Linked DNA regions of Caenorhabditis elegans. The protein of the gene in region 3 purifies or fractionates together with the protein of the main gene of each other region. This does not show direct contact. Each region holds a gene or a part of one and is shown on either strand. Other genes may lie near its edges. The genes, in order: mix-1, dpy-26, capg-1 and wapl-1.

Region 1 (5,849 bases), on a different chromosome or scaffold from region 3:
GCCTTTGATTGCTCTGATCAATGGCCCAGCCGTAGGAATTGCTGTGACCGTGCTCGGAATGTTCGACTACGTAATTGCAACCGATAAGGCCTCATTCCACACTCCATTTGCCCCACTTGGACAATCACCTGAAGGAGTTTCGAGCTACACGTTCCCACTGATCATGGGATCTTTGAGAGCTTCTGAGATGCTGTTGGTCTGTAAGAAAATCTCAGCCCAAACTGCAAAGGATTACGGGCTTGTGAATGAAGTTGTGCCAGACGCTGAATTCCAGTCACATGCTCAAAAAACTGTGGAAGCGTTCTCCCAACTTCCGCCAGAAACTCTTCGTATCAATAAGAAATTGCTCCGTTCTCTGCACAAGGAGAAGCTTCTGGAGGTCAACAATATCGAGGCCGACCAGATTTGCGAGCGTTGGCAATCCAAGGAGTGTCACCAAGCGATTGCAGCATTTATGACAAAAGGAGCAAAGAAGTAATTGTTTTGTGCCCTCTTAAGTTTTACCTTTTTTGTAGATTTTTTATGTATCTAAAAAGAATTATGTGTATTTGATTGAACATGTGCAAAAACAAAATTAAATGATTAATTTACAACAATAGAATTTTAGCAACATATAAATAAATGAATCCATAAATTTCGAGTAAAAATGAAGAATATCAACTGCTTTGCTCATCAAGAACTATAATCTTCTCACGAGTACATGAATCACAAGCTGGTAGCCGAATAACAATGTACGATGGCTCCTTCTGGTAGACCTTCTTATCACAAATCGGGCAACAAAAGTTCGGAGTATGTACTAGATGTGGTCCGTCGACGACAGGAGCCAACTGATACGACTTTTTCAGAACTGGAGGGCACAGATCATCGTTGGCTGATCGCTTTTGAGCAGCATTTCGAACTGAAGCCATATCCGTCCTCCGGAGCAAGACGGGCGGAGCAACTTGTTGATACTCGTGATCACTTCGGTCTCGCTGGGGTACGAGCATCTGGTCGATGGTGGCGTACGCGAATTCTCCATTCATTAATTGGATCTGAAATTTCAAAGCTTTAAAAAATATACTTTATAGAAGTTTTATGAGCATTTTTCTTCGTTTTTTCTAGAAAAGCTCTGTTTTGATCCAAAAGTTGAAAATAATTACATTTTATCGGATCAAAACAGAGCTTATCTTGCCTAATTAAACAGAAAAAGTAAAGAGTTTCTCACCTTGTACTCCGAATCGCCTCGAACATATTTGACAACCGCATCTTGAAGACGACCATCAGCTGTCCGAATTTGAACGGTTTCTCCAATTATTGGGCTTCTTGTAGATTCTAAAATAATTTGGATAATTAAAATTAGTTCAAATAAGCTTCTGAAACTCACTTCCAGCTTCCAACTGTTCATGATGATGATGGTGATAACTTGTTGATGGAGCCTGATCGTTGTATGCAGAATCTTGAGCTTTTTCTTTTCTAAAAATAATAAAAATATAGTTAAAATTCTACGTGTTGACCTACATGGGCGGTAGAGCAAGTTGCACAAGTTGATGGACATTTTCAGTGCTTAAATTGTTTAAATCAATGTTCAAATTGGCGATTTCGGAGGGGGAAACATAGAATTGCTTCTGTTTTGATGTAATATTGACTCCACCATCATTTGTCAGAATAATATGCATTGCATTATCGATTATCTGACCATTCCCATCATATTCTTCCTCCGGCCCATTTCCATCACCTTCAAATTGATTTTCAATCATTTCGTGATGAACCATGTGATGATGTGAACCATCTTCTATGACAACTTCTTCATTGTGCTCTTGCTCGTTTTGTTTCGCCTGTCGTTGTTGACTAATCGCCACCACAATGTTCAGCTGCTCTTCGGTGAGATGATTAAGCTCAAAGCCTGCTTCTACATCGAAACCCGCTTCGTACATGTCTTCCTGCGTGATTTGAACCATATTCTGAAATATAAATATTCTTTCAATTCATCGAAAAGCTTGAAATACCATAAACTGTTGATCACCATCCTCCACAATCATATCTCCTTGTTCAAGATCTTCCGGCTGCTGCTGCTGCTGCTCAACAATTTCTTCTTCATGCTTAGCACTTTCAACTCGAAGTGGGGCCTGATCCTCGTGGAAAATATGATCTTCATCGGCAGGATATACACCTTCTGGGGAGGATCTGGAAATTCCATTTATTAATTTGAAAGAAAATGTGATTTTTATTCTTACCCAGGAATTTCTTCTTCACGGCCTGTTGTTGGGCTAGCAGGATTTTCTTTTTCGGAATCCATATCTGCAACGATTTTCGTTGTTTAATAAAAATTAAAAAATAAAAATTAATAAATGACTCTAAATTATAGCGAAGGAGAAAAAACAAAGGAGAAAAAAATTACAAAAATCACAAGGCAACTTTTGCGCGTCAAATCTCATACATTCCAGTCCGCAAACACTCTCACGCCACTCTGCACACTTCTCAAAAGACGCGCCAAAAAACATTCAAAGCTCATTCGGCTTTCGAAATAAACATTTTCTCAAACTCGTTATCGACTTATAACTTATTTTTGTTCAAAATCAATTCGACAGGGTGCGCTCATAATGCACATTAAATCCATCCATCTGGATGGCTTTAAATCGTACCAAAAGCACACCGATATTCTCGATTTTTCGCCGACTTTCAACGCAATCACCGGTGAGTATAGTTTTGTGCTGAAAACTAATAGTTTGAAAAACTTTAATTTCAGCATAAAATATAGTATAATAATTGTTTTATTTCAGGATACAATGGTAGTGGAAAATCCAATATTCTCGATTCGATCTGCTTCATTATGGGAATCAATAAGCTCGATAATATCAGAGCAAGTATGTGGCTCTTTCTCATCACAAAATTATTTTGTTGTCATAGTGATACTTACGCGCTTTCGGACTGAAAAAGCACAAGATCAGAGTAGCATAATATTTCTAGCAAAGATTTTTTAAATTGAAATTTAGAAAAAAAAATTAAGTCAAATATCATTCCAGAATCAATGCACGAGCTGATTTCCCATGGTGGAACAAAAGCGATCGTCCAAGTTCGCTTCGACAACACTGATAAAAGATGCTCCCCGTTCGGAATGGAACATCTCGACGAGATCGTCGTTCAGAGAATCATCACAGCTCAAGCAACTGGAAAAGGATGTGCAACGAGTTACACACTGAATGGGCATGCGGCCACAAATGGAAAAATGCAAGATTTCTTCCGTGGCGTCGGTTTGAACGTGAATAATCCACATTTTCTCATCATGCAAGGTCGTATTACTACGGTGCTAAACATGAAGCCGGAGGAAATCCTCGGAATGGTTGAGGAAGCAGCTGGAACAAAGATGTATGATCAGAAGAAGAAAGACGCGGAGAAAACAATGTTTTTAAAAGATGCAAAACTCAAAGAAGTTGATAGAATCTTCCAATCAAGTATTGATCCGAGAATGGTAAAGTTCCGTGAAGACAGAAAGAATATGGTGGAAGTGACTCGTCTCAAGAAACTCAAAGAGAACTTTTCCCGAAAATACGAGGCGTTTCAATACTTTCAAACATGTGAAGCGGTGAAAAAAAGTGCAAAAGAGATTGAAGATGCCAAAAAGGGAATTGAAGATCTCGGTGAAAAGTTTAATCAGCTTGATCTTGACTTGAAGAATAAGGAAGATGAGAAGAAAAAGATGGAAGAATCTCGAGATGATCAACATGAAGAGGCTGCACTTTCAGCGGCTCATCTTTCGAAACAATCTATAATGCTTCAGAAGGAGACTGTCAAAAATCAATTGGTTGAAACAATCAATAAACTCAAAAAGGAAGGTGAACAAATCAACAAAAGCTTGTCAAAAGATCGTGAAGTTCTCGACGCAAAACGAAAAGAACACGAAGATTCAAAGGCGGCTAACTCGAAAGATATTCAAAGTCAATCTGATGATGAAGCTGTAAGTTCGAGAAATTATTCTAAAAATAAAGTTAAAAAAAAACAATTTCAGCTCGTCACAAAATACCGTAATGACCTCGAATCCCTAACGAGAGGAACAATTGCTAATGACAAAGGAGAACATGTGTCGATTGAGAGTGAAATACAGTCTTGCAAGTCGACTGCGTCTCAAATGTCATCTGGGATTACTGCTGCGAAGAAACGGTAACTTTCCTGAGAATTGGAACAAAAAATCTAATTTTGTTTATGTCGATAAGAATAATGACAAAAATTTTGAGATATTTTAAGAAAAATCGAAAAACAAAAAGTTTCGTTTTTTCGCTTTTTGAAAACGTCAATGATAGTTTTTTTGCGGATACTTTCAATGAAATTATTCTGTCGTTTTCTCTTCAGTTTTCTGTTTAAAAAATTTTAAACCAGTTTTATACTATTTTTACATTGAAAACTGGTTTTAAACAATTTTTAAACAGAAAAATTAACATAAAACGATAAAAAATTGACTACAAACGATGTAATTTCATTGAAAAATTGCAAAAATTGAAAGAAAACACAACATCGAAAAAATAATGCATTAATTTGGAAATTCAGTAAATTTAATGGGACAAAAGAAGAAATGTACTTTTTTAAATAGGAATATCATTGAAAAATTGGCAATTTATTTCAGCGGTGAACGTCTACACAACCAAATTAAACATTTGGAAGGCGAAAAAGCTACTCTCTCAGCCAGAAGTAAATCTGACATTGGAAGTGCCGATAATTATCAAAAAGAGGTATCAGATATTTCAATTTTTTTTTCTCCGAAAACTTAAAAATATTCAGGTCGATGAGATCAATAAGCAACTTCAATTATTGGGTTTCAATATAGATGCTGATACGGAGAAACGAGAACACGCTGCAAAATTGCATGAGAGCATCACTAAGCTCAAGGATATGGATACGAGACTTCTGAATTCATACAAGTAAGGTTTTGTGTGAAAATTCATTTTAAAAGAGTTATACCGTTTCAAAATTTAAAAAAAAAAACCTATTTTCATAATAAAACCCGAATTTTGTCAATTTTTCAGTATCGCAGCGAGCGGAACTTGGTTTTTATTCAATTATCGCCTTTTTATTGCATATTTAAATATGAAAAAAAAAAAACATATATTTTTGTAGTATATTATGCGTTTTTTTTTCGTGAATTCAGGTGCATTTTCTGCACATTTTTGGTGAAATCGACCGAAAAGCCATCAACATTAACGAAAAAACGTGCAATAAAGAGTGATAATTTACTACGAACCAAGTTCCGGCCGTTATGACACTGAAAAGTTGGTAAAATTCGAGATATTAGCTTTAAAAAATAGTTTTCTTTCGGAATTTTGAGAAAACTTTTTTTAATTTTAAAACAGTTGTTTTTCAAAAATTAATGCTTTTTTTCAGCTAAAATTTCAAATTTCGCGAATTTTTTTTCGAGAGTTTCGGCATAATCAACTGAAAAAGCACCAAAATTTAGGAAAATTGCGTGATAAACTATCACAATATGCAATAAATTGTGGCTATTTAAAACCAAATTCCGGCCGTTACTACACTGAAAAGTTGGCAAAATTCAAGATCTTAGCTGAAAAAAATAATTTTTTTTAAATTTTGAACCGGCATAGCAAATTTTCAAAACGTCTCAATGATATTTTTGGTTTTTTTTTCAGACCAAAAAACAAAAAAAAACGAAAATTTAATTTGCAACATTGAAGTTTATTTTTTTAAACAAATTTTTCTTTCCAGGGATGGTCGATATGCATTGAACTACCAACGTCCTCCACTACATATCGATAAATTTGATGAAAAGCGGGACGTATTCGGATATGTCGCCCATCTTATCAAAATGAAACCAGGATGCGAGCAATTCGCTGTTGCTGCAGATATTGCTCTTGGTGGTGTGG
Region 2 (9,241 bases), on a different chromosome or scaffold from region 3:
TGCAACGGCCCGCCCGACTCACGGTTTTATTCGGATTGCAAAGCAACGTCAAAATGTTCGGTGGAGACGTGAGCGCTGCTTCCGTGTTGCCGTCTCATCCGATTTCTGGATCATGTGATGGATTTCAAGCCGAAGGATCTGATCATCATCATTCCACGATGACTCCATTCCAAGAGAGTCAAAGGAATGTTTATCAAATTTTGTATGGAGTGAGTTTCAGCTACTTTTTCATAATTACATCGCTTTAATAATTCATATTTTTACAGCATCCGGCAAACGACGATTTTCCGCGCCCTATAACACCACTGCAGATCACAATTCCCGAAGGAGATGCGTCACCGACTGTGCCAGTTTCCTGTGGTGTCGTGAATGGAAAGATGCATCTCAACCTGTTCATGTGCCCTGGGATTCATCAGCCGTGTATTGAAGTGGGAAGTTCGTTATTTTATTTATTTCAGATAATTTAAAATGGGTCTCATAATATAATTATTTTCAGACGATCTTCTTTCTCCGAAGCAGTTCACAATCCGTGGCGACAAAGAGCGTCAGAAAGATTGGAAGGCGAGCATCCGTGTTGGAAGATCTTCGTTGAGGTGAGCATCAAGACAATAATCCCTTAAAATACTTCTGTTTCTCAAAACTTTATATTCTAGAACTCACATGGAAGCAATGACCATCGACTTCTACGAGCATATGAATCGATGCAGTGGAAAGTGTCAAAGCAGAAATTATGTGAATGCTCCATCTGAAGAGGTGCTTCAAGCTCGGAAGTCCAAGAGAACATCTGAAGCCGGACAACTTAAATATGAGATCGAAAATGAGATGGCTGGAAAAGAGGCGGATAATGATGATAATAGAAAGAGTACGACCGATAATTCTACAAAAGGATCTAGTTTTGACATGTTCTCTCAATATTTTTCATTAAAATTTAGGAATAATATTTGTTATGTCTAAAAATAACTTATATTTTAGTTGGAACAATCGGAAAAGTGCTCAAATATTGTCTCAAAGTTTGAGATTTGTGAGCATCTTTTCAACTATTCCAACTTAAATATAAGTTTTTTCAGATAAAGGAAACATTATTCTATATTGCTAGAACATTCTAAAACTAGCTCCTTTTGTATAACTACCAGTATTCTGGAAACATATCATTTTTCAGGCGCCAAAAAAGCTCGTGGACGTCCACGTGGAAGTGTCAACAAGCCCAGACAAATGGTCAAAATGGAGCCACAAGACGATCGTTTCTTCGAGGAGTTCTTCATTGATGCGCCACCACTGCAATCAATGTCATCTAATGAAGAGCCAACTTCTTCAAATAAGGAATCCAATGAGTGCACGCCATTCAATGATATTCTCAATTGTCTGCAGAACGGTAAGCTATTTGACATAACATTTATCACTAATTTATTTTTATTTCAGATCCTATGAATTTCTGGTCTCAAATGCAACAAACCGGTGTTATCGGTCATTTCTGCGACGACATCATTGTCAGTGCAATCAATCTGAAACAATCCGTTATGGATAATCCTGTCACTCCCACCACTGCCAACATGCTCACTCGTACTGCATTCGCTCTCGGAATTCCACCTGTCGTTGTTCATCGTGTTCAATCGATTGAACGAAACGCTTACCAACAGCGGAAACATGACGAAATGTTTAACGATATTCAATCAACTTTGGCCGAGGAGCACAGTGTCAAATATCAGCCGAGAACATCATCTTCAAGTCAAGAGAGTCTTCACACTGCTCGAGAATTTACAGAAGAGAAGGTTGAGGAACTTATTGATGTTTGCAAGTACGACGATTATCCAGAATCTGAATGTCTTCCAGGACCTAGTCATATTCAATAATTAAACAATTACGGATTTAATCCACAAACGCACAAATAGTGTGTGCATTTTTTCGTATGTATTTTAGAACTTCATGTTTTATAGAATATAATTAAATTCTGATCCAGTGGAATAGCCCACTGCTTACTTGTGAGCTTTCCCCCCTCAACATACCGGTGAAAATTGTTTGTAGTTCTTCTAGAATGTTTCATGCCTTTATAATGAAATCGTGTTCATTTGAAATTTCTATTCATGTTTTACAAACTCTTACTCGTCACAACGTAATACTGGAATATCTTTTAATTTATGTTTATTTTTTTTATATTCAATTTTCAACCTCATTCTTTTGGAATTAAGACGCCTTCATCAACAACATTATTGATTGCGTCGACTTGATTCCAAAAAATGAGTTTCACACGAATACTCATCAAAGTGTCATGGCAACAAAGAGATAGAGACGAAAATATATCATTGAGCAAACAACAAGCTTTCAGAAGGGCACAATCGGTTTTCAGATGAATAGAATTTGTGCTAATCATCTGCTAGCGGATTTTGTTCTTGAGAGAGATAATACTCCGCTCATAAGTAAACAATTGAGAATTAAATTCGCACAAAAGCATAAATCTTCATTCGCGAATATTTTTATTACTGTAGGGTCTCGCCACGAACAGATATTTTCTGTATGTGTCCCTTTAATTGAACTGTAGCTTTATCGATCGGTCGAAGGCATCAGAAAAACTTTCTTTTTAAATATATATTTACTTCATAACAATTTCAATCAATTTGTGAATTTTTTACATTCTCTTTGGATTCTCAGTGTGCGAACTGCCTCGTTCCCGCGTTGACAACGAGAGACAAGAGTCGCAGACGACTAAACATCATTACGAAACTCCGGTCTCCCTTCGACCCTTTGTTTAGCAACGAGGACTTTTGAATTGAATTGTGCTTCTTGTTTGAATATATTTTATTTTCTCCTGCTTTCTATTATCTAAAATTGTGTTTTAATTACAGGGAAATGGATGTACCATCATCCAGCAACGTCACTGGACGCAGAAAAGTAAAAAAAGAAGAATGTTCTGCTTCTACCAAAAACGTAATGTTTTCAGAGACAAGTTCTAGATGATGACGAAGATGATGGCTTCAGATCTACCCCATTGCGTAAAGTTCGAGGAACTAAAAAAATTAGGCCAGCGGATGTGGTGCCAGAAACAATTATGACAAAAATTGGCGCCCATATCGACGATATTGTGAATAAGAAAAAAGTTGGAGAGCTCAACTGTTTCGAATATAAATCGCCGCTTGAAATTCATACAATCGAAGATATGATCAAAGCAAAAGCTTCAATCCAAGAGATGGCAGTTGTGCTCGAAGGAGCTCAGTGCATTATTGGTTATCGAGTCGATCGGCTTCACCACGACGTTCGACAAATTGATTCAGCTCTCTCGAGTGGTAATTACATTTTTTTTTTAATATTCTTGGAATTTATCGTTTCTTTTTATTACAGGAACTGTTATGCGAGATTCAAATGGTGAAGAAATTCATTTAACACTGGAAAGCAGAAAAGCTAAAAAGAAAATGGCTGTTGTTGACGGAATGAATGGAATGCTCGATTTTCTCAATAATATGGATGATGCTCTGACAACCACCGAACTTGACGCAGACAATGATAAGAATTGGAAAGAAGATGAGGAAAATATTGCCGGAGAGCCACGAATTGATTTCAAAGCCAATTCCAAAGATGTTGACGCATTTCTTCAAAGAGACATTTTCCCCGAAAAACTCATTTATGCATTGTCAATCAAACGAGCAACTGATCTCAGAGCTGACCTTCTCTCTGATGTTTCCAATTACATAAGTGCTGATGATACGGCTCATGATCTGAAAGACGCAAATATCGATTGGCTGAGAGCTAACCCGACATTTCAAAAGGCAACGAAAGGATCCGTGTGCAATTCATCAAACTCGTTCCATTCTCTTAATTATTATGGAATTCATTCTCCCGATGGACGAACTCTTATGTTGCATAATCGAATTGCCGATAAGAATGCTGATGATCGGTTTTTCACGTCCGATGTGTCTGTCTCACTTGTAAAAAATACACGAGCTCTCCTCACCAATTCATTAGACAAAAAGCCACGAATTCTCGACAACTACTTGATGCTCGAAGTCAAAGATCGCCCAGTTATTGGGAGATACAAAATAATGTCAAAGGATGTGAAGAAGTCAACGCTACCATTGGCGGAATCGTCTCGTGAGAAAGATCTCGCCAACTTGACATTCGCAGAGATGAATCATCGGCCTTCAAATCTGGATATGACGGTGGCAGGAGCATCGGATATGTCAATGCTTCCAGGAAATCAAGGATTACCACTCGCCCAGGGAGAAAACGATGAGACGATCGCTCTAGATAGGCTTACACCTCCTCTTCAGTCGTCTGTGTCACAGAAAGCGAGTGACGAATATGTTCTTCCACCTCTTGAAGCTGTAAGTTTTTTTGCGCGCCTCTGAATACATTTATGATATAAATTATTTTCCAGAATGATCTCGATGAGCATCTCATTGGAAAACTGCCAATTGAGCCGAATGAAATGGATCAAACATTAGCCAACATGTTTGATAAGAAGCTGGAAGTGTTCAACACATCTGATACACTTGAATCAAAAGTCTGGAAAAATGGAATACGTGCAGAAGAATGGGGTGAAGATGATGAGGCAATTATGAAGAATGACACGAAACATCCACGTCAGGCTGGAATCGAAGGTTGGATTAAGGCAACTGATGCATGGACCAACTATGATGTTGTAAAAATGAATGTAAATCGAGAAGCTCGTTCTCAATTGGATGAAAATGCGATTGACGAGCAAGAATCGTATAGAAATATGGTTCCGGAAATTGGAAAGAATTTGTTCTTGGTGAAATCGGATGATTATATGAATAACTATCCTGGAGATCGTCCAGCAGACTTCACAGTGAATGATGAAGTGTCTGATGTGATGAAAATGTGGTCTGGTGAGGATAGTACAGCTGAAGATGATGTTCCGTTAGAACAAATTCAACAAGAAATACGGGAACAAGTGCAACAACAAGATGTTGATATGGAGCCTATTGAGGAAATGGATTACGATGCCGGCGGTGCTGCTTTTGATGTAGACTTTGATGATCGACTTGCAGCTCCGGTTGAAGTTGAGGAAATGGAAGGAGATAATAATAGAAATGATGGAAGGGTGGCTGATATTCTTTTTAATGAGCAGATGGATGAGTAAGTTTCAATTTTGAATTGAAAGTTGATTCTGTTCGGTTTTTTGTTGCCTATAATGACAGAAGAACGTTTCAATATAGCAAAAAAAACCGTTATTCATTTAATGTAGATAAATGCAAAAATTTATTTTTATCCATTCTCACCTATTCATGAGTGTCGAAAAATGCAAAAAAATACAAAAACTAGACGAATAGGGGGGAAAATGTATAAAAATACATTTTTTAAAAAATTTTCTACATCACATGAGTAATGAATAACCACAACTATTTTGAGATTTCTTCAACAATTTTGCAAAAAAAGTTAAATCTTTTCTGAATTCCCGCGCTTCCCCTATTTTCGACATTTTGAGTTTCCGGCAATATTAATTGGATACTCTTTGCTTTTTTATAATTTTACCTTTGAAAAACGCTAGATTCAACATTTTTGAAAAGACTATCCACATTTTTTTTCAATTTCAGAACTGAAGTAGAAGAACGAAATGAGCAAGATGTTCAACGGGAGCTTGAGGACATTGCACTTGCAGCCGATGAAGTTGCAGAGTTGATGACTTCTGCACCACCGCCACAACTTGTTGGACCATCTGCAGAAATGCGTGAAGAGATTCAAAATATCGGAAAGAACGACAATGCTCATTGGGTTCCACCAGTCGTTGGTGATCAAGAGAGACAAGCAGCGGTTACAGCACAACGGAAACGGCGAGAAAAGAAAGCGAAGAGCAGAAAAGCCACTGTCGAAGATTTCGTTCATTACTTCCGTGACATTCCTGATGACGAGATTGAACGAGAAATTACTGCTGCAAAATGCTCTAAAATTGCTGATGAGAAGAGCACTTTCCTTTCGGAACAACAGTTATATCTTCCAACTTTGGGAATTGAAAACAAGCCGCATGTCGCTTTTGAAATGGGTCTTCTCGGTAACAGCGGGATGTTCTTCAAGAAATCATATGGGAAAATACGACTCGAACGTGTCAAAAATCAAAAGGCTGAGCAAGATTTGTTCATTGATGAAGCCAGAGGAAACAAGGATTCGGATTGTCTCAATTGGCTACTTTCATTCAGTGGATTCAGGTGCATGGAGTGAGTGTCTAGGATTAAATATATATAAAATTGTTAATTTTTCAGAAATCCGGAGCCTATCACTGGCTCTGACTCGGACGAGAATCTACGAACTGCCGTAGAGCAACCGTTTGATGACGATTTTGCCAACGATTATTACGTACGTTTCTGTTAAGACCTGCCGGTTTTCCTGTCGGTTTTCTGAATAATCGAGAATCGAAAAATTTTCGTTGTTGATTTTTCCAGTTAAAAAAAGCTCGTTCAAAAGTCCAAAAGTTTTCGACGATCGATACCGTTAAATAGCTCAGACGCGAAATGTTGCGACTTTAGAACAAAAAATACAGTACCCGGTCTCGACACGACAATTTTTTATAATGAAGCCGAGTGTGCGCCTTTAAAGAGTACTGTAGTTTTAGACTATCGTTGATGCGATGTTTTCGGTGATTTTTCTATAAAACAGATTTTTTAATTAAAAATTGAAATAAAGCACGAGAAAACAATTCCTTTTTAGTGTATTTACAGATTTTAATAAATAAATTTTATTTATTGAAAAATCAACAAAAATTTTGCAAAAAATGCGTCTTTTCGAGACCTTGATACCGTATTTTCGGAGAGAAAACTACAAAATAATTCGGCATCTAATTACAGGACGAAGACAGATACGATCCAAACTATGAACAACAACTCGCTGCTGCACAAATGGGTCCGGATATGCAGGTAAAATTAAGACGGAATATTTTTTCCAGTGCTCATTGAACATTTTCAGAGGAAACTAGCCTTGACCGCAAGTCACATTAATCAAATGTTCCCGAATATCCATTCCAAACGATACGGTGGTGAATACGGAGATTCAGATGATGAATTTGACGATGTAAGTTTAACAAAAAATTTATATTAAAAAAGTTTGTATAATTTTCAGTCATTCGATCGCCAGTCGATCCAGGCAAAGAATCTTGACGCCGCCAAGCACAAGAAGTGTCTCGCTGAAATTCTGAAGACTGATAGTCTATCGATGCCTTCAATTCAATATGTTCTGGAGCAGTTGACATCTAATCAGACTCTACGAATGAATAATACAACTATCCGAGCTGCCGATGATCGTAATGAAACCGGAAGACCTGCAACACCGACAATGGAGGCCGACAAAACGTTGACGTCAGTGTTTGACTATAGATCACCGAACAAATCGAATCACGATGTGAACGAAACGATGAAGGCACTAACAGAGATGCCAGATTATCAAGCAGCAGATGAGCGTCCCAATAATCAACCAACTACATCTACATATGGAACTGCTAACACTGAAAATAGAAAAGTGCATATAAATGGATGCCATACACTTCTTTCGTTGGCACTTTCAATGCCTTCCAGAATGGGAGAGACTGTTAGGCCCTCGTCTATCGTCAGCTTCCTATTGCATATTGCCAATGAAAATGTATGTTTAGTTTTTTTGAGTTTATTTTTTCAAACTCATTCTAAATTTTCAGAACTTGCAAATTGTTCAAGATCGATCAAAGCGATCCTGGATGTCTGATTTCATTGTTCTCAATTCAAGTGAAAGCCTACCACGTGGTCTGAAAATGGGAAGAATCGAGGATCAAGACGAGTTCTGGAAACGAACTCAAGATCCGGACGCCATCGAGGGTACGGCTAGCGATGCGAATAATGTGTTCTCGAATTTGATGCGACGTCCGAAGGCAGTACCAGTTCGTAAAGGTCGTGGAGCAGGTGGTCAACCTACAACAAGTGATCTCGGAGCAATCGTAGAAGAAGAAGAAATGGAAGAATAAGCATACTTTATTAAATTTCTCCATAAAAAATCATTTATTTTCGGTATCAAAATTGAATCTCAGAATCCACCCAATTCGATGTATTTATTCATTTTATCTCTCATTTCTCGAAACTCGAAGTTTCTTTATTTATTTTTCTCTCTCTGAATTGAGTACCCCGACACCAAAAATTTTAAGTTTTCTGTCAAATCACTCTTTACAATGAATATTCAATATGATATTCGAGCCATAAAACTTGTAGAATTCTAGGGATACAAAGACCCTTTCTGATTCTTCCGAAAAAGCATTCACTGATTCCATAAAAATTACGAATTCAGATGTATAGAAACGGGATCCGATGGATTACCACTAGCACGGCGGCTCTGAAGGGACCCAGAAATTATGTGAATCGAAAAACGGGACGTGGATGTGGAAATTCGGTTCTTTCAAGATTCGAGTGGAGATATGATAAGGTTCTTTGGAAATTAGATTGAAAAATATAAATTCAACTTTCGTTTATTACCCAGGCGCGAAATTTTGCGATTTTCGCGCAAAAAATACAGTACCCGGTCTCGAAACGACAATTTTTGTCTAAATGCGAAAGGGTCTGCGCCTTTAAAGGGTACCGTAACCGCGAGCTCAACGAAATGAGAGAAAAACTTTAGAAAATCAATGATAAATAAATTGAAAACATTTTTGATTTTTCGGGAAAAAAATTAGAAATCGAAAATTAATTTTTTGTCAATTTAAATTAACAAAAAATGTCAACATTTTTATCAAATTTTGTGTTTTTTTTTGAGAAAAATTACAAGAAACCGTTAAGTTTTCTTCTATAACGAAAAAGATTTTAAAATGTAGGCTGCTTTTTCGGAATTCAATTTTTTTCGAAATTTTCTAGAGGCGAAAAATCGAAAATGACATATTTTTCTTCAACATTCCAACAATTATCAAAATATTTTGTATTTTTGGATTTCTTCTTGATATCAAAAAAAAGTATTTTTTTTCGCAACGAGAAAGTTACAGTACTCTTTAAAGACGCATGTCTTTTTATATTTTACAGAAATTCGTGTCGAGACCTCTGGTAATAATGATCATGGCTCCACCAGTTTTCTCATCCCAACAACAAGAAATTTCAGACATTGGGCAAAAACTTCCAAAAAACGATGGGCATGAGATACGGTATCGATATGGGACTTGAAGATCGACTTCTACTCGTCTCTCTCGGAACAAAACAACGACGTTTAGACGACAAAAAAGTTGTTCAGCTGAGCAGAATCCTTGAGGAACGAATCGCCGAAGTCGTCGCAACAGATGAAATGCTCGGGCGAT
Region 3 (9,056 bases):
TTGTAGATCACAATAGATTAAAGTAAATTAAACGAATATCTGAAGTATAATAATTTCTATTTGCAGTCCCAAAAGCGGAAATCTCGAAGCCACCAATTCCAGCTCGACCCAAAAAGGAGAAAGCTGATCCTCTACGAGTAGACAATCCACTTTATGATCCAGATTCAGAAGTTTCTGATGTCTAATTCTCTTTCTCTCGTATTCTAATCAAAACTTCTCTGATTCTCCACTCTGTGATACGTTTTTTTTTTCATATTTTGTACATGATTTTCCTATATTTTTCAGTTTTTTTTGTTTCAAATGTTTTTCCCAAAAAAAATTCCTCTTCTCAAAAGTGCCTTCCCCCACACATTTGCTCCCTGTAACTCAATTTTGTGCCCATTTAGATATTATTTTCACTAGAAATTTCCATATCTTTTCCCCTCCATCCCCGATCCCCGCGTGGTATTGATCACACGTGTAAGCTTCTCACTTTTTTTTTCATATTTTCACCAAAATTTCTATTAGAATCATAAATAATAATAAATTATTATAAACTTTCCGATTGTACTTGAAACAGGTATTAAAGGTGCACCAGTTTGTCACAACGGGTCTCGCAGCGAAAATTCATTTTTTAACGTATTGATATTTATTCGAAAAATTAAGAGTTTTCAGTAGAAAGTTAAATTTACATGCTCATCACTGGAGCTCCGAAATCTGTAAATATATTTATATCTGGAAAAAATCAATTTTTAATGTTTTACCTCATCCTCTTGACTAGCCACCAATTTGTATCTTCTGCACATCGAGATAATCGCCGAAATTACTAAAACAACCATCATCAGCCCCGAGATTGATGCGTAAATGAACAAGAATCGATAGTAAGTGCCATGTCCAGAAGGGTGTTCGATTGAAATCTACGAATTTATTTGATAGAATTAAGAATTTTCTGTGGAAGTTAACGAATTACAAAAGAAAACTTTACATCGAATGCCTTAGTTGCATGTAGGGTAATAATGATGATGAATATGAAGAGACCAAGTGGAGAATTTTGCATTATTGTTGGGTGGTTTGTATAGTCGAATAAATAATTTCTAGGAAATGAAATTAGAGAATTAAGAAATATGGCGGAAAAGGTAAAGTTATTTAAATTCATAAAAATTGGGAAACGTGTTCGAGGAAAAAAAGGTTAAAATGTAAGTGGTAATAAATAACGAGATCGAAAAGCACAAGTCAATTTAAATTATTAATTTCTCATTTTTCACTTCTCAGTTTACGTGCACTTCTTGGAGGTGCTGTGCGAGCTGCAACTGCAGTTGGACGGGTAGCTGTAGTTGGACGGGATGGTGGTTCTGAAAATATTCAGTCCGTTATGAAAAACCAAATACTGAAGCGATCTGTTCAAACTCACTTTTAGTATTTCTGGGTGGACTTTTCAAAATCTCCAACGCATCCTCTTCAACTAAAGGTTTCTTTTTCGTGGCAGACGCTGGAGTTGCTCGTGGAGCTCTCGGTTTTCTAACAGTAGCGGGTCTTGATGGGCCAGGCTTATCATCTTCTTCCATATTCACATCATTATCAACTGCGATATCCGTGCTGATCAAGTTCGCATTTCTTTTGTTGGTTTTGGACGGCGCTGCTTCTTTTCTTAAGTCAGTTTTGCTTGGCACTTCTTCAATTTCATCTTCGTTCAATCCGAGAATTTTCGCTATCTTTCTATGAGCCTTTCGAAGTTCGTTGTATCGATGCTTGTCACCGTCTAATTCGTGGAGCTAAAAATTGAATGTTTTCAAATTAGAATAATTTATAATTATTTGGTATATACTTACAAATATATACGATTCTAAATCTCCATGAATTTTTGTGAGAGCTGATCTACTGAGACTCTGATATTCCACGAAGTTAAGAGCACAAATATAATAATCGACAGATGTTGAATCAGGAGCTCCAGCCATTTCGTGAAATATGTCATCCACAAGGTCGACGTGTGTTGGTTTACACTGAAAATTAAATCATTCATAACTATTTATCGGTAGCACAACTGAAAATTTTTAGGTTTTCGTTTTTTTCGAGTTTTTTAAAATCGATTTTTTGTCGTTAACCTGTCGTTAACTAAAAACCTCATACAATTGTAAAAGTTTACACCTTTTTTTTCGAAAAATGGCACTAGGAATTGTGATTCCGTGTCCAAAACGCAAAAAAATCCCCAAATTTGATTTTTTTTTTGAAAATTGCACTGAAAACTGACGGAAAAAATTTCGGGATTTTTTGGTGTTTTGGACGCGGCGCACAGTGATGTCGTTTTTTTTTTAAATTGTTTTCTTTAAAAAATGTATTTTCTGGATTAGAAAATATATTTTTGCTCCAAAAAAACTGTTTAAAACTTAAAACTTTGAAAAAAGGCAGGAGGAAAAATATTCGAAATTTTTTTGTGCACAATCCTTTCAATTTTCAACAAAAAAGTTTTAGACTTGCGAGATTTTCGCTTATTTTTCGCACTAAAAATAAATTATCGGATTCAACTCTGATCGGCATACCTTCTTCTGTTCTTCCAATGGAAGCGTGGAATGACGAGTCAATGCAACAAAAGTGGCTGCACATCTTTTAAGCTTTGTAACCATTTCATGGCGATTTTCAGTCAACCGTTCGGGTGTCGTAGAGTTGGCCCACATATCGAAGAAATTGTGGAATGATTTAATGAGAAGAAGTTGATTGTTTCTGAAAATAACTTTTTAATTTTTTTCATCAGTTTCCCAGGAAATGAGAAGCCAAGCTTACTTGTTGATAGAGCAGAAGAATTTGAGCATCACAATGATCGTACTGCGAACTTTAGCGGAGAAGCGATTAGTGATCGCGTATGAAGCTCGAGTCATAAGTGTAACCATTGTACGTTGCCATTTTTGTTGATTCGGGTCAATTTTTGTATTCAAGAAGAGTCTTGAAATTGCTTCAACTGCTCTTAACATGGTTTCACATTCTCCTGAAACATGTGCATTGACAACAATATCCGATAGAAATACTGCAAAATTGGGTTGCTTTGAATTCCAGCTGAACAGAGCGTCAACTTGATCGCCATGCTCAATTTGAATATCAGTGAGCGCAGCAATTAATGAACACTGAACTGGTTCATCTTGGGTGTTAAAGCTCTTCATCATTTCACGAAGAGTATTTTCTGCTTGATCATAATCATAGATTGCACCAATACCAATACATTCAGTACAGAGAACACGAGTACTCAAATCTTTCGATGAAATACCCTCGCGAAGCTTGTTGTTGTATCTATTCTGATAGGTTGTACTCCATCCAAGTAAAATTCCAGTTTTCAATAAAGCATTCAATACTTTCAACTCGTAGAGATCAATAACTGCGATTCCCTGAAACATTTTCAAATTTTGAAAATTAAATAATCTATATAAAATCTTACATCTTTGTCTGAAATTGTTCGTCGGCCGGTTTTGCGTGTTTCCTCTTCTAAATCTTTTCGAACCTTTGTCTCTCCAACGGGTACACTATTTTCAATAACTGGAAACTGTCCACTTTTATATTTCGATCTCATTTCTTCAATTCTATCATTAAACAATGTGAACAGTGCATTCGGATCTTCTTTGTAAAATTGTGCGAGTTCTTGAACGATGAGATCAATCACTTTTTTCTGATAGAACACATTCATCAACATTGAAATTAACATTTGCTTGTATGCATCAACTCCAGGTTGATCTGTTGGTGCATGTCTCATCACACATATTATATTCTCAACAATTGACATTTGCAGAACGAAAGTGTGATCCTCGTAGTCTGCTCTTTGGCTAATGTTCGGATAAACATCCAGATTCTTGACTCGAACGAGAATTCTGAAAAATAAAATTAATTGTTACTCTTATAAAACAAATAGTAAGAAAATCATACTTTTCCACATGCTCTACCATAGTGCGCAATGGACTGACGAAACGTGACATGGCGTTTATCTTATCAGCATCATTCCGTTTTCTATCGGAAATATAATCAACAAGACATCTCCAAAAGAAGATCATGGCTCGATTGGTGCTTGGATCTTGTCTGAAAATGATAATCTTGCTGCAAAAAACCATGAATCCAGCAAGAAACTCACGTATCAGCAAGCTCGCTGTCATCTAAAATTGATCCAACAGTACTTTTAGTAATAATCGGCACCGCACTTGACTTCATTTTTTCTCTCAAATCGCTAATTAAAACCTCTGCGAATGTGTTAATCGGATCCGCTTGACAGACGTACATTTGACGAATAACATCAAGTGTATGAGTTATCAATCGTCTCAAGTTTGAGTGACCTTCCAATGTTTCAAGAGCACCCGTTAGCCATAGCAATGTAAGTGCTTGGGCCGCAAGAATATATCCTTTCATTTTATTCTCTTCTCCTGTTGTGGATTCAGAATTAGAATTCAAAATGACAACATCATTGGAATCTTTGCTCTTTTGACTTTCGCTCCATCTCGTTGACAAATTACGAACCCAATTCTTCAGAACTTCCTTTGCCGCATCTCGAATATTTACTGGAAAATTACAATTTAATATCATTAGTCATAAATTACAAACAAACCTTCATGGTCTTTCAGGCATAAATCAAGCATTTCAATTTTTTCGCGAACATGTTTGTTTGGCCTGAGGTTTGAAAACTGTTCAAGTGCTGCGACACGAACATTGAGACACTTGTCATAATAGACAATGTCTGAAAGTAGTCTAACATCTGTTTCTAATGGTACCATTGATTGAACTGCAACAAGTCGGCATTCCCATGCTGTGTCTCTACAGGAACGGAGAAGAACTGAAATTTGTAATTTAAAAAGAACAAACGCTGGTATTGTATAGTAATTTCACAACACCTTGGCATGCTAGGCGCACGGATTTCTTTATATGGGCCAAGTTTCAAAATACGTATGAATTTTTCATTTAAAATGTTTGTTTTTCCTGTGAAAAGGATTAAAAAACTGATTTTCAACAACTTTGAACAGTAAAATGCAAGGAAAAAACAATGAAGCAGCCGCAAAATTCAAAATTAAACTACCATAAATTTTTTTGTGCTTTGATCCAAAAAATATATGGTAGTTTAATTTTGAATTCTACGGCTGCTTCATTTAGTGCGCCTTTATAAAAGTTTGAAAACTTACGTTCTCTTGGTGAATGTTTCATAGCATCTACTGGCCAATTCGATGGAATTGGTATTTCTTGCAAGAATCCTAGGCCTCGAATAGCTGGAACTCTGGCGGTTTGCTGAAAAAAGTTCAATTTCAGCTTTTCAGAATTGAATCAACTTTTGAATGAAACAAACCTCCTTGTCAAGCAGTGCTCTCTTCAATTGTAAAAACATTTTAGCTGCAATCTTGACTTCAAATCCAGAATATTCACCCTCAGTTGTTAAATATCGTTTCCCTGTCTCGAATATATAACTGATGAAGCAGGTCGTGTTAATTCTCGCAGCAACATTATCACTATGTCCCCACTGAAAATAAGTTTTATTATGCGGATTTTTATTAAATTGAATACTCACAGTGTTAATAAAATTGATAATAAAATCGAGGAGATCCGATGGAAGCTTGAAAGCTTGAATTTCAGTTATTGTCACTGCGATTAATTTAAAGACACGAGCCCGATGCTCAGGAACAGTCACCTCTTCGATAATCATTGAAAGTCGGACATCTATTTCATCAAGGAAAACTTTCATTAAATCGACCTTTTTCTTACGATTCTGATCAGCCTGAAAATTGGATAATTTTTAAAATTATTTTTATTTCGATTTTTAAAATAAATTAACCTTTTTAAATGCTGCAATCAGTTTCCGCGAACTGGTATGTATTTCATCATTAATATCATCACGAGATTGAAAAACTGTTCGAATTGATTCTACGACTCTTTTTCTATAAAATACTTTAGTTTTTTTTTTCATTTTGATACTTACTTTATGAAAAGTGCTGCAGAAATACAAGCTCGATCCTCTTTTGTCATGTTTTCATTGATTCTAAGAGTGGATACACCTTCGCTCAAAACTGTATTTTCCGCATCGTTTTGATCATTGTTTAATTCTTCATTATTCAAAAAATCAGCACTTTCGTTGAATGATTCATCTGAAGCCACATCTGTACCAGTTGATTTTTCCTCACGAAGTGCTGGCAACTTCGGCCCGCGAATTCGCTTCTTCGGTGGCATGAGAGGGGTGGGTTACTGAAAATTTGAAAATTGAAATGAATTAACAAAAAGATAGACATTCAGAAAAAGAATAACACATGTCGAATTGTTAAAATATCTTGTTATTCTCTGCATTTCCACTGATAGTGAAAATACCGGGGCGACAAATGATCTGTATATGTCCCAAAAATGGAAAATTACAAAATATCTTTTTAAACATTTAAAGACTCGTGTATAAAACAGTTTCCAAAGAAACAAAAGAACGAGGTAATGACTGAAACGACTAGAGCACGCCAATCTGCTGTTTCGCTCTCTTCGATTTCAAATTTGCATTAGAGCGCACATGCTTTCGCGCCGTTTTATTTATTTTTTATTTAAAAACGGAACTTTCGGAATTGAAAAGGGGTTTTTTAATGTTTACTAAGCCTAAGTAGACTAGAATTCAGTAGAGAGCAATAAAGTTTGTTTCGTCACCACTTAATCCTGGCAGTAATAACTAGAGCTCCTGTTAAATACTTAAATAAAATCAATTAATCAATTGAAGAAATATTAACAGGTGTTAGAAACAAACACATAGAAAAGGAAAAACAATAAAATGTGCAAATATTTTTATATTTATTAAAAGATAAAATTCTAGGTAATGCAATCACAGGTTGAAGTACGGAAAACTCGGAGCAACTGATCAATCGAAATATTTTATAACATTTCTCGCCATAATGTCTCCTTCAGAAATAACAAAAGCGTGTTCACAATTGTCTTCGTCCAATGTGACCTGCTCCTCACCAAGTCTGTCCCGCATGGAGTATCCTATAAATTTTATTTTCAATCTACACAACGTTTTCAAGGTCAATACCATGCTGCACTGGACACCATCCATCCTTGAGGCCATAATAGAAATGAACCACGTCTTGTTTTTCCAAAAGACGCTCATCTAGGTCTAAAACGATATCAAGTTCATCGTTTGACATGTGAACTATATTTCTGAACACATCCATATGGACAAGCTCAACTGCCGCATCGACGATCTCTGGGGGAGTCTGAAAAATTATGTTTTTTGTTGCTTGACATTCAAAAAAAAATTTACATTAGGATGTCTCAGGTTCAATCCAACAAGAAATTTTTTGATCGAGTTTGGCAGGTAATCCACCCACCAGCAAATCGTTTTTGTGAGCCAATCATGATGGTTCAATGTCTGAAAGTTTACAATTAAAAATTAAAATAAAGAAATTGAATTTACAGCTAAAGTTCCATGTAATCGTTTCCCATTTGGTGAGTTTGCCATATGAACTATCGTTGGAAACAGTCCAACAGCTTTTTCCACGTGGAATCCTTCTTTTATCACTTCAGGAATGATTCTTAACATCATATACGAACCAATGCTATGCCCCAAAATGTACAGTTGCTTTCCACGTGGCAGGTGCTCTTTCACAAATGATAGTTTGTGATTGACTTGTTCCTCCAGAGAAATTCGGTCTGGAAATATATTATAATCGACGTAAAAACGCGCTCCGCACCGGATCCATGAGTCTCGTTAGGTATTTGAAAAAAAAACAAAAGGGCGAAAAATACTGCGAAATCGGCGAAACTAAATAAGTTAAAAGGCTGGAGTGAACGGTTCTTCGTTTTATTTGTATTTATTACCATGATTTCGATGTTCTCCATCATCTTTCAAATGATCTGGCATTCGAACATGATTGAGACTTGAAACTGTGTAGAATAAATATTGATTTTTCAAGTTTTTCTGCTCATCTTCATCTTTCTTTATCAAATTTTGCAAAACTTCTCGTCCGAAATGAGCGTAGAATCCTTCGTTTCCGGGATTTCCTGAAATTAAAATTTTCTTAAATTTTTAAAAGCGCAATTTCCCGATTTACCTGGAATCATTAAAATAATCACTCGATTCTCGTTCTCCTTTTTCTTCTGAATTTTCAGCGTTTCGTCTGAAATATCCAACCCCATGACGGACATTTTCGTCCATTTCCCTGCTACTCGAACCCATTCCACTTTTCGAAGAATTGAGGTCATCTATATGTAAATAAATAAGAAAAACTGGAAAAATGCGGTTAGAAAGAATGATATTGTGTTGGGAAATTTTCACCTGCCTCAATAATTATTTTTAAACATCTGTAAAAAATCGATGGAGGAAGATGGCTTTATCTCAAGTTTGGAGAAGAAAACACAAACAGAAAAATAAATAAAACGTTAAAACAAGATGGAAACAGAGATACCGTATATTCTCTATTAGTGCTGCATGCAGCACTAATTTCCAGGCCCTTTTTGAGTGCAGCACTATTAGAGACTGCAGTATTACTGGAGGCTGCAGCACTAATTTTCGAACGGCTATTTTCAATTGGAGATCACTAGTTTTTAGTCACAAATGCTCACCTTTTAAGCAGAAATCCATTAAAATTGTGAAATTTTGTAACAAAAATGACCTAATAACTCAATTATGTTTGTAAGTTAACTAGAAATCTTCAAAAATATACAAAACACTCCCCAGAATGTCAAAACTATGTATTGAGTGACTCTTTCAGTAGAAAATGGGGTGCAGCACTAATAGAGACTGCAGCACTAATTTTCGGACCCTTTTTGAGTGCAGCACTATTAGAGACTGCAGTACTACTGGAGATGCAGCACTAATAGAGAATATACGGTAATAATTTTCAGATTTTGTGATTTTTTTTGTTTGAAGAATGATGATTGAGGATCGTGTTGGATGGATTTGGAAACGATTATTGACGGTCACCGCCTGAAAAATGTAGAAGATTCATTTTTCTTAATAGTCACACGAATAAAAAAACCAATTTGAAACAACTTAAAACGATTTTTCCATTTTTTTTTATTCTGCTAACCTTTTTGAGCAATAGCGCGATTGTAGCCTCCTCTTTCTGGATCATAATCCTTTCGATACTCATCAC
Region 4 (7,037 bases), on a different chromosome or scaffold from region 3:
GTGAGTGTGACCTTAATTTTATGACGTCAGTACGTTGAATGCGTCACAGAGGTTGCCATCATTCAACGGGGGATTCTTGAATTTCCGATCCTTGTCCACATTCCAGATGACACCCTGAGTCGTCACGGGTACCATGGTAACGATGCCTGTGTCGGCACGATGAGCCAGCGTGAAAGTGTCTGGAAATGGATTGGTTAATCGGTGAATTTAGGAGAGCCAGATGCGTGCGGCTGAGCACACAGCGTTGGTATCCCACCGCAGCTGCTGCTGCTCACAGCGAGATACTCAGGTCATTCGGAATATCGAAGACACTTACCGTTGAATATCGAATTGGCAATCGCACCGCATGGAGCAATTGGCTTCTTTGTCGCAGGGTCAATGTCGAATGGAGCACAGTCCTTCACGTTCTGAAAGCAATTTAAAATTTAATAAACGAATATTCTATAGCGTCGCTGCTTCAAATTTGAATCAATTTACCGTCAAATCTCCAAGATATTGCTGATCATTCCGGCTTTTCACGTATCGCCGATGATTTTGATAGTAATTCTCGAGATTATAGTACAAGAAGACGTCTCCGTCGAACGCATTTGGTAAATTAATTTGCAATTGGCACGGTGATAAGCAATTGGTGTATTCGACGGTGAACTCGGAAACCGCGTCGGAAGCGATGAATAGGAAGACGCCGATGGGTAGAAAGATGGCTCCGATGACGAAAACCGTTGGAATTACTGTGGTTGCTGTGAGAATCGGTTGCCATGCGGGGAGTTTTTGCTGTCGAAGGGCGCTTGCTGCAATAAAAAGGGTTTTTATGAAGCCAAGCGTGGTATTTTTGAAAATATTTGAGACCCCAATCAAACAGGATTCAGTGGGCGGAACCGAAATTGTGAATTTTGCAGCCAACGCACGCTTTTTCAGCAACCCTCGCGCGTTTTTTACCGTGCGAGGGTTGCGCAAAAAGCGCGCGGGTGTTGCGAAATTCAAACTCTCGGCTCCACCCACTGTGAATTCCGTTTTCGAAAATACTTCAAAACTTCTGGCTTAACTGAAATTTGTTGGAAAAATTACACGAAAAACTCACCCTTCGGCCGATTTTTCAGCACTTTTTCCGTTTGAACCCCGTCAGCACCAATACCACTCACTTGCGTCGACGTCGGAACGGCGTCTCTCGGCGGCATTCTAAACCAACTTGATATTTTTGTGAACATTTTAATCGAAAAATTAGAAATGAAAAGATTTGGTCGAAAAGGTTAAAAAAGGACGAATGAAACGCAGTTAGTTCACAAACAACTGACTTTATGCGTCATGGTGAGGCCTTTCTTTGCTTCTCTAAATCTCTTTCTTCGCGTTTGCCGAATCGATTTTTCCCAATGTTCGTCCTTTTTGAAACCTGACTCATTTCACAAACAACTGTTTTTTGCCAAAATTTCCAATTTCCAAGCTCGTAGTGTTTTATGTAAAATAGCTTAGAAATTGCAGAATTCAACTGACCAACGACTATCTGCAAACATTTCCATTCGAGATCTTTATTCATTTAAAAGTGGGAACATTTGAAATGCTTGATATACAGACGGTTAGCATAGTCAACTTGGAGTTGAATTGGGGACTGAGTAGCGGCCGAGTATCTGGCTTTACAAAATTTAATTTAAAAAGTGAATGGAGGAATGAAACAAAAGAATATTGGATGAGGCAGTGATCAAATTAATTCGTCGCCTATTGGGGAGTGATAGATGAGAGATTAATTTTTGGTGAAATTGAGAAAAATATTAGATTATTTAGATATTTGAGGTATGTCCAGCATTTATTGTGGTCCTTGTCCTGGAGCTCCTGGCTTTCCTGGGACTGGGGCTCCCTTCTTGTTCATCAAATAACGATGGATGTGTGGGATGACTCCTCCTCCGGCGATGGTGGCCTTGATGAGAGTGTCGAGCTCTTCGTCTCCTCTGATAGCAAGATGAAGATGTCTTGGGGTGATACGCTTCACCTTAAGATCCTTGGAGGCGTTACCGGCCAACTCGAGGACTTCGGCGGTGAGATATTCGAGGATGGCAGCGCTGAAAAAACAAATTTTAGAATTTTATTATCAAGAATATGGAATCAGTACCTGTATACTGCGGCAGTAGCTCCGACACGTCCGCTGGAAGTGGTTCTCTGCTTCAAGAAACGATGGATACGTCCGACAGGGAATTGGAGTCCAGCGCGAGCACTTCTCGATACGACCTTCGATTTGGACTTTCCGGAGTCCTTTCCGGCCTTTCCTTTTCCTCCAGCCATTGCGAACTAGATTGAAGCTTCTGAAAACAAGAACAGAATGTTTAAAAAAATCGATAAACGTTCCACAAAATGTTGAATTACGATAAAAGCGAAGAATCTCCAGAGAAACAATGATGAAATAGTGAAAAATGGGTAAAAGCAGTTCAGAAACACCAGAAAGAATACATTTTACTTGATTTTCGATCAAAATACAAACAAAAACATTAGTGCAAAATCGTAGTGCAATTTATGCACAAATGAACAGGAAAACATTCGAACGAAGAAATCAACTCTCAAAAGCGCGCGCAAACGAGAGACTCCTCCTTTTTGGCACGCTGCCAGCTAGTTAGATACGCAAGGGTCTCGCAACGAGGTGGGGTACGGTCGGGTGTGTAGATTTACGGCGGAGCTCTCGGTTTGCAATTTTTAAGCGCGCGAACCGGTATTTTCAATAAAATCGGTTTTAAAATCGAAGCTTGAAGGGTTCCGGTGACAAATATTCAAATTTCAAGAAACATGTCGTCGGATGCTAATTCGGACGACCCATTTTCCAAGCCGTAAGTCGATAAATTTTTTAAAAACGGAGACAAAAAATAAAATGATTTTTTTCAGAATCGTCCGAAAAAGATTCCAAGCTACACTAGCACAACAAGGTATAGAAGATGATCAGCTACCATCAGTACGCAGTTCCGACTCCCCAGATGTTCCTGACACTCCAGATGTACCTGTGAATCAGCTTTCATCACCACCACTAAGCCTTCCGGAAACGCTTTCAGAAGGAAATGCTGAAACAGTAAGCTTTATCCAGCCATAGTTTATCATATCCTATTAGCTTCAGAATCTGAGCGACGACAGCGAGCCGGAGATGCTGAGCCAATCTTCCACCTCCTCCCTGAACAGAAGAATGGAAGATTCGGCAATTGATCCGTCTAGGGGGACAAGGAAATCTCAAAGTCGAGGATTCGATTACGATCCGGCTGGTGAGAGGACAACGGCTCCTGTTCAGAAGAAAAAAAAAGATGAAATTGACAGTAAGGATATTATAAATTCAAATTTAAATGAACGTTTATGGTGTTTCAGTGGGTGGTGCGAAATTCTTTCCGAAACAAGAGAAGAAGCACGTTTATACACACAAATGGACAACAGAAGAAGATGACGAAGATGAGAAAACTATTTCTTCATCGTCAAATCGCTATTCCAGTAGACCAAACCAGCCAGCAGTCTCTGCACGACCGGTTAGTCGACTCCAATGTAAATGTATTCAGCAGTAAATTATTTCAGCGTCAGCCGGTTTATGCGACGACATCCACCTATTCGAAACCTCTTGCTTCTGGGTATGGATCTCGTGTCAGGCATATCAAGGAGGCTAATGAGCTGCGGGAATCCGGAGAATACGATGATTTTAAACAAGATCTCGTCTACATTTTGAGCAGTTTGCAATCTTCCGACGCATCGATGAAAGTCAAGTGCCTCAGGTAGTAAAAAAATGTTTTTGGACGAAATTAATTATCAAATTTCAGTGCAATATCTCTTGCGAAGAAGTGTGTCTCTCCAGATTTCCGCCAGTTTATCAAAAGTGAGAATATGACAAAAAGTATCGTCAAGGCGCTTATGGACTCTCCGGAAGATGATCTATTCGCGCTGGCAGCTTCGACAGTTCTCTATTTGCTCACAAGAGACTTTAATTCAATTAAAATCGATTTTCCATCGTTGAGACTTGTCTCGCAACTTCTGCGTATCGAAAAATTCGAGCAACGTCCAGAAGACAAGGATAAAGTTGTGAATATGGTCTGGGAAGTGTTCAATTCGTACATCGAAAAGCAAGAAGTTGGAGGACAAAAGGTGTCATTTGATATGAGAAAGGAAAGCTTGACTCCATCATCACTGATAATTGAAGCTCTCGTTTTTATCTGCAGTCGCTCTGTGAATGATGATAATTTGAAAAGCGAATTATTGAATCTCGGAATTCTCCAGTTTGTAGTTGCGAAAAGTGAGTTGGAGTTTTTTTGACCCAATATTAAAAATATGAAATTAATTTCAGTTGAAACAAATGTAAACTTGATTGCGGACAATGCCGATGATACGTATAGCATTTTGATTCTAAATCGATGTTTTAGAATTTTGGAATCAGTGAGTCAATTTTCGAATTTCACAATTTTTCATATTTCCCTTTTTTCAGAGTTCCGTTTTCCACAAGAAGAATCAAGCGTTTCTGATATCTCATCGATCGAATATTCTTATCAGCAGCCTGGCCAAGTGAGAAATCGTTCAATTAATGCAAAAAATTATTATATTTTCCTTCAGATTTCTCCAAGTAATTCTCGATAGAGTTCATCAACTTGCAGAGGAAGAAGTCAAAAAGTACATCTCGTGTCTGGCCCTGATGTGCCGTCTTTTGATCAACATCTCGCACGACAATGAGCTATGCTGTTCGAAACTTGGTCAAATTGAAGGATTCCTACCAAATGCGATCACAACTTTCACATATTTGGCGCCGAAGTTTGGGAAAGAAAATAGTTATGATATCAATGTGATGGTGAGAATTGAAATTCAAAAATTGGAAATAAGAGTTTTTAATTTAAATTTTCAGATGACTTCACTTCTGACCAATCTTGTGGAACGATGCAATGCGAACCGAAAAGTTCTGATAGCCCAGACAGTTAAGGTTTGTGAAAAGAAATTTGAACTTTACATTAAAAATACTTTAATTTCAGATGGTGATTCCCGGGCACGACGTTGAAGAAGTTCCAGCATTGGAGGCGATCACACGGCTATTTGTCTACCATGAATCTCAGGCTCAAATTGTCGATGCCGATCTGGATCGGGAATTGGCGTTTGATGTATGTTGAATTCAGACCCGACGAAAAGGATATTAACGAAAAATTGGCAAATTAACCGACAAAAAATTTAAGATTTTGAGTTCTAAATCCCTGGCAGTTCGTAGAGTCTGCAGGAGTTGTGGCAAACTACGCAAGACTCCTGAAAAGTTGCGCAAGATTATGCAGGAGTTGTGCAAGATTGTAGCAAGAATCCAAAACTTCTATGCTACAGTACACAGGAGTTTCACTTCATCTGGGACTGTTTTATTGTAGAACACGCTGGTCCCGTGCCAGATACCCTTTGAATTAATAATCAAGATAAGATTTAAAAAATAACAAAAAATATTTTTCAGGAAGGAGGATGCGGAGACGAGGAAGAAGAAGAAGAGGGTGGAGACGAAAGCAGTGACGAGGATGGTGTCAGGAAAGACGGACGGCTTGATCGGAATAAAATGGACAGAATGGATCAAGTGGATGTAGTTCATGCTCTTCAACAAGTCATGAACAAAGCCTCGGCTCATATGGAAGGCAGTGTAATCGCTTCTTACCACGCTCTTCTCGTCGGATTCGTTCTCCAACAGAACGAGGATCATCTCGACGAGGTTCGGAAGCACCTGCCTGGCAAAAACTTCCAAAATATGATATCGCAATTGAAGCGGTTGTACGATTTCACGAAAGCTACGATGGTAGGAGTCTGAGTTATTTTGAATTTTCAATACATAAAAGTGATTTTTCAGGCGAAGCGGGTCGAATCAAATTCGGGATTCCGGGCTATCGAGCGTGTGATTGAGTACCTCGAGCGGCTCGAGTGATTTAATGTTTATTTCTTGATTCTTTTTTTTCTGTATAATGCTAAACTTTTTCTCATTTTTCAATTCACCTGTATCACTTATAGCACACTCTTTTTCCCCTGGCACATTTTTCAGGTCACTTTGATCTCGGTTATTTTGTTTTTTTTTTGTTGAAATGTGTCCCTATTTGATTTTATGACGAGGATTGGTGATTATTTTGTGAATTTATGATAAATCCGTGATTGTCTAAACAATTTTCGTTCGTTTTTATAAAACTTACTATTAGCTGCGGCGGATTATATAAATTGGCATTGCGGCGAATTCTATCACCAACTCGCAAGCTAATACCTCTTCAAGAGTTTAAAATTCAGTATTTCCTAAACTACAGTAAGCATACAGTACTCCTACAGTACTAATATTATAGAAACACTTAATTCTAAGAATGCGTATTGCACAACATATTTGACGCGCAAAATATCACGTAGCGAGAACTACAGTAATTCTTTAAAATAGTACTGTAGCGCTTGTGTCGATTTACAGAAATAATTTATTAATCGGTGAAATTTTTACAAGAAAAACACATAAATTACGAAAAACAATTCGAAAAAACCAGAAAAATTAATTTCGAAAAACGAGCCCGTAAATCGACACAACCGCTACAGTAGTCATTTAAAGAATTACTGTAGTTTTCGCTACGAGATATTTTGCGCGTCAAGTGTGTTGTGCAATACGCATTCTCAGAATTTAGTGTTCCCGTAATAAAATGCCTCGACATTATCCTTAACCTTAACCAACTCCCAAGCCAATACCTCTTCAAAAGTTTACAATTCAATGTTTCCTAAACTACAGTAACTCTACAGTAATCCTACAGTACCCCTACAGTACCACTACAATACCTCGGCATTATCCTTCACCCGCGGAGCTCAAATTAGAAGGAAATTGTTTTTCAGCACAATGAAGGCTCATAACTTCCGTTAGCGAAATTTTTGTGATGTTTCGTATAATAGCCTTGTCAGAGTCTCAAATTCGACTACACCACCGTGTACAACAAGAGAGTTAATTTTTTTTGTGTATACTGAAGGCGAGAAAAGAAGAGAAGATCGATTAGTTTATTACATTCCAAGACTAACAAATAAATAATATGCTAGTAAATGAGTTCACGTTGATTGATCTTCTT

Evidence for each region.
Region 1: the proteins of capg-1 (region 3) and mix-1 purify together in Caenorhabditis elegans (affinity purification with western blotting; one study listed by BioGRID). This does not show direct contact.
Region 2: the proteins of capg-1 (region 3) and dpy-26 purify together in Caenorhabditis elegans (affinity purification with western blotting; 2 studies listed by BioGRID, with this or other methods). This does not show direct contact.
Region 4: the proteins of capg-1 (region 3) and wapl-1 purify together in Caenorhabditis elegans (affinity purification with western blotting, with the first as the bait; one study listed by BioGRID). This does not show direct contact.

What each region holds. Positions count from the first base shown.
Region 1 is NC_003280.10:10,821,805-10,827,653, forward strand, and holds the start of mix-1 (Mitotic chromosome and X-chromosome-associated protein mix-1), read left to right. Parts: upstream 1-2,441; 5' UTR 2,442-2,579; coding exon 2,580-2,673; intron 2,674-2,759; coding exon 2,760-2,843; intron 2,844-3,002; coding exon 3,003-3,934; intron 3,935-3,985; coding exon 3,986-4,137; intron 4,138-4,597; coding exon 4,598-4,703; intron 4,704-4,752; coding exon 4,753-4,892; intron 4,893-5,691; coding exon 5,692-5,848; intron 5,849-5,849. Other genes in the region: ech-4 (Delta(3),Delta(2)-enoyl-CoA isomerase), read left to right, coding at 1-478; R06F6.12 (uncharacterized protein), read right to left, coding at 657-1,031, 1,205-1,311, 1,364-1,452, 1,498-1,940, 1,986-2,163, 2,214-2,275. UniProt on the Caenorhabditis elegans protein: Essential protein required for both chromosome condensation and segregation and X-chromosome dosage compensation depending on its binding partners.
Region 2 is NC_003282.8:12,444,894-12,454,134, reverse strand, and holds dpy-26 (Condensin complex subunit dpy-26), read left to right. Parts: upstream 1-2,799; 5' UTR 2,800-2,844; coding exon 2,845-2,886; intron 2,887-2,935; coding exon 2,936-3,278; intron 3,279-3,333; coding exon 3,334-4,313; intron 4,314-4,366; coding exon 4,367-5,088; intron 5,089-5,546; coding exon 5,547-6,164; intron 6,165-6,209; coding exon 6,210-6,303; intron 6,304-6,791; coding exon 6,792-6,860; intron 6,861-6,909; coding exon 6,910-7,014; intron 7,015-7,062; coding exon 7,063-7,578; intron 7,579-7,630; coding exon 7,631-7,933; 3' UTR 7,934-8,250; downstream 8,251-9,241. Other genes in the region: Transcription regulator spe-44, read left to right, coding at 54-209, 267-435, 497-593, 654-862, 1,160-1,372, 1,420-1,850; C25G4.3 (Ribosome-binding factor A), read left to right, coding at 8,251-8,385, 9,049-9,241. UniProt on the Caenorhabditis elegans protein: Required for both chromosome condensation and segregation and for X-chromosome dosage compensation depending on its binding partners.
Region 3 is NC_003279.8:7,633,605-7,642,660, forward strand, and holds capg-1 (Condensin complex subunit capg-1), read right to left. Parts: upstream 6,182-9,056; 5' UTR 6,160-6,181; coding exon 5,912-6,159; intron 5,871-5,911; coding exon 5,768-5,870; intron 5,711-5,767; coding exon 5,504-5,710; intron 5,456-5,503; coding exon 5,285-5,455; intron 5,227-5,284; coding exon 5,124-5,226; intron 4,781-5,123; coding exon 4,556-4,780; intron 4,509-4,555; coding exon 4,088-4,508; intron 4,036-4,087; coding exon 3,886-4,035; intron 3,831-3,885; coding exon 3,404-3,830; intron 3,354-3,403; coding exon 2,758-3,353; intron 2,698-2,757; coding exon 2,517-2,697; intron 1,980-2,516; coding exon 1,809-1,979; intron 1,752-1,808; coding exon 1,391-1,751; intron 1,332-1,390; coding exon 1,234-1,331; 3' UTR 888-1,233; downstream 1-887. Other genes in the region: lrp-1 (Low-density lipoprotein receptor-related protein), read left to right, coding at 67-185; F26A3.1 (Lipid droplet-associated hydrolase), read right to left, coding at 6,821-6,945, 6,992-7,175, 7,223-7,330, 7,376-7,611, 7,780-7,962, 8,013-8,163; ncbp-2 (Nuclear cap-binding protein subunit 2), read right to left, coding at 8,871-8,887, 8,991-9,056.
Region 4 is NC_003282.8:4,441,470-4,448,506, reverse strand, and holds wapl-1 (Wings apart-like protein homolog 1), read left to right. Parts: upstream 1-2,766; coding exon 2,767-2,807; intron 2,808-2,862; coding exon 2,863-3,043; intron 3,044-3,082; coding exon 3,083-3,281; intron 3,282-3,330; coding exon 3,331-3,485; intron 3,486-3,531; coding exon 3,532-3,725; intron 3,726-3,770; coding exon 3,771-4,240; intron 4,241-4,291; coding exon 4,292-4,380; intron 4,381-4,429; coding exon 4,430-4,506; intron 4,507-4,554; coding exon 4,555-4,786; intron 4,787-4,840; coding exon 4,841-4,915; intron 4,916-4,964; coding exon 4,965-5,090; coding exon of another isoform or gene 5,091-5,099; exon of another isoform or gene 5,100-5,422; coding exon 5,423-5,755; intron 5,756-5,806; coding exon 5,807-5,881; 3' UTR 5,882-6,145; downstream 6,146-7,037. Other genes in the region: CDC50 family protein chat-1, read right to left, coding at 34-179, 317-407, 478-788, 1,079-1,175; htz-1 (Histone H2A.V), read right to left, coding at 1,799-2,051, 2,102-2,271. UniProt on the Caenorhabditis elegans protein: Regulator of meiotic chromosome structure and function, playing a role in sister chromatid cohesion, possibly via antagonizing the coh-3/-4 association with axial elements in nuclei during late prophase, cohesin association with chromatin, DNA double strand break repair and polar body positioning following meiotic divisions during oogenesis.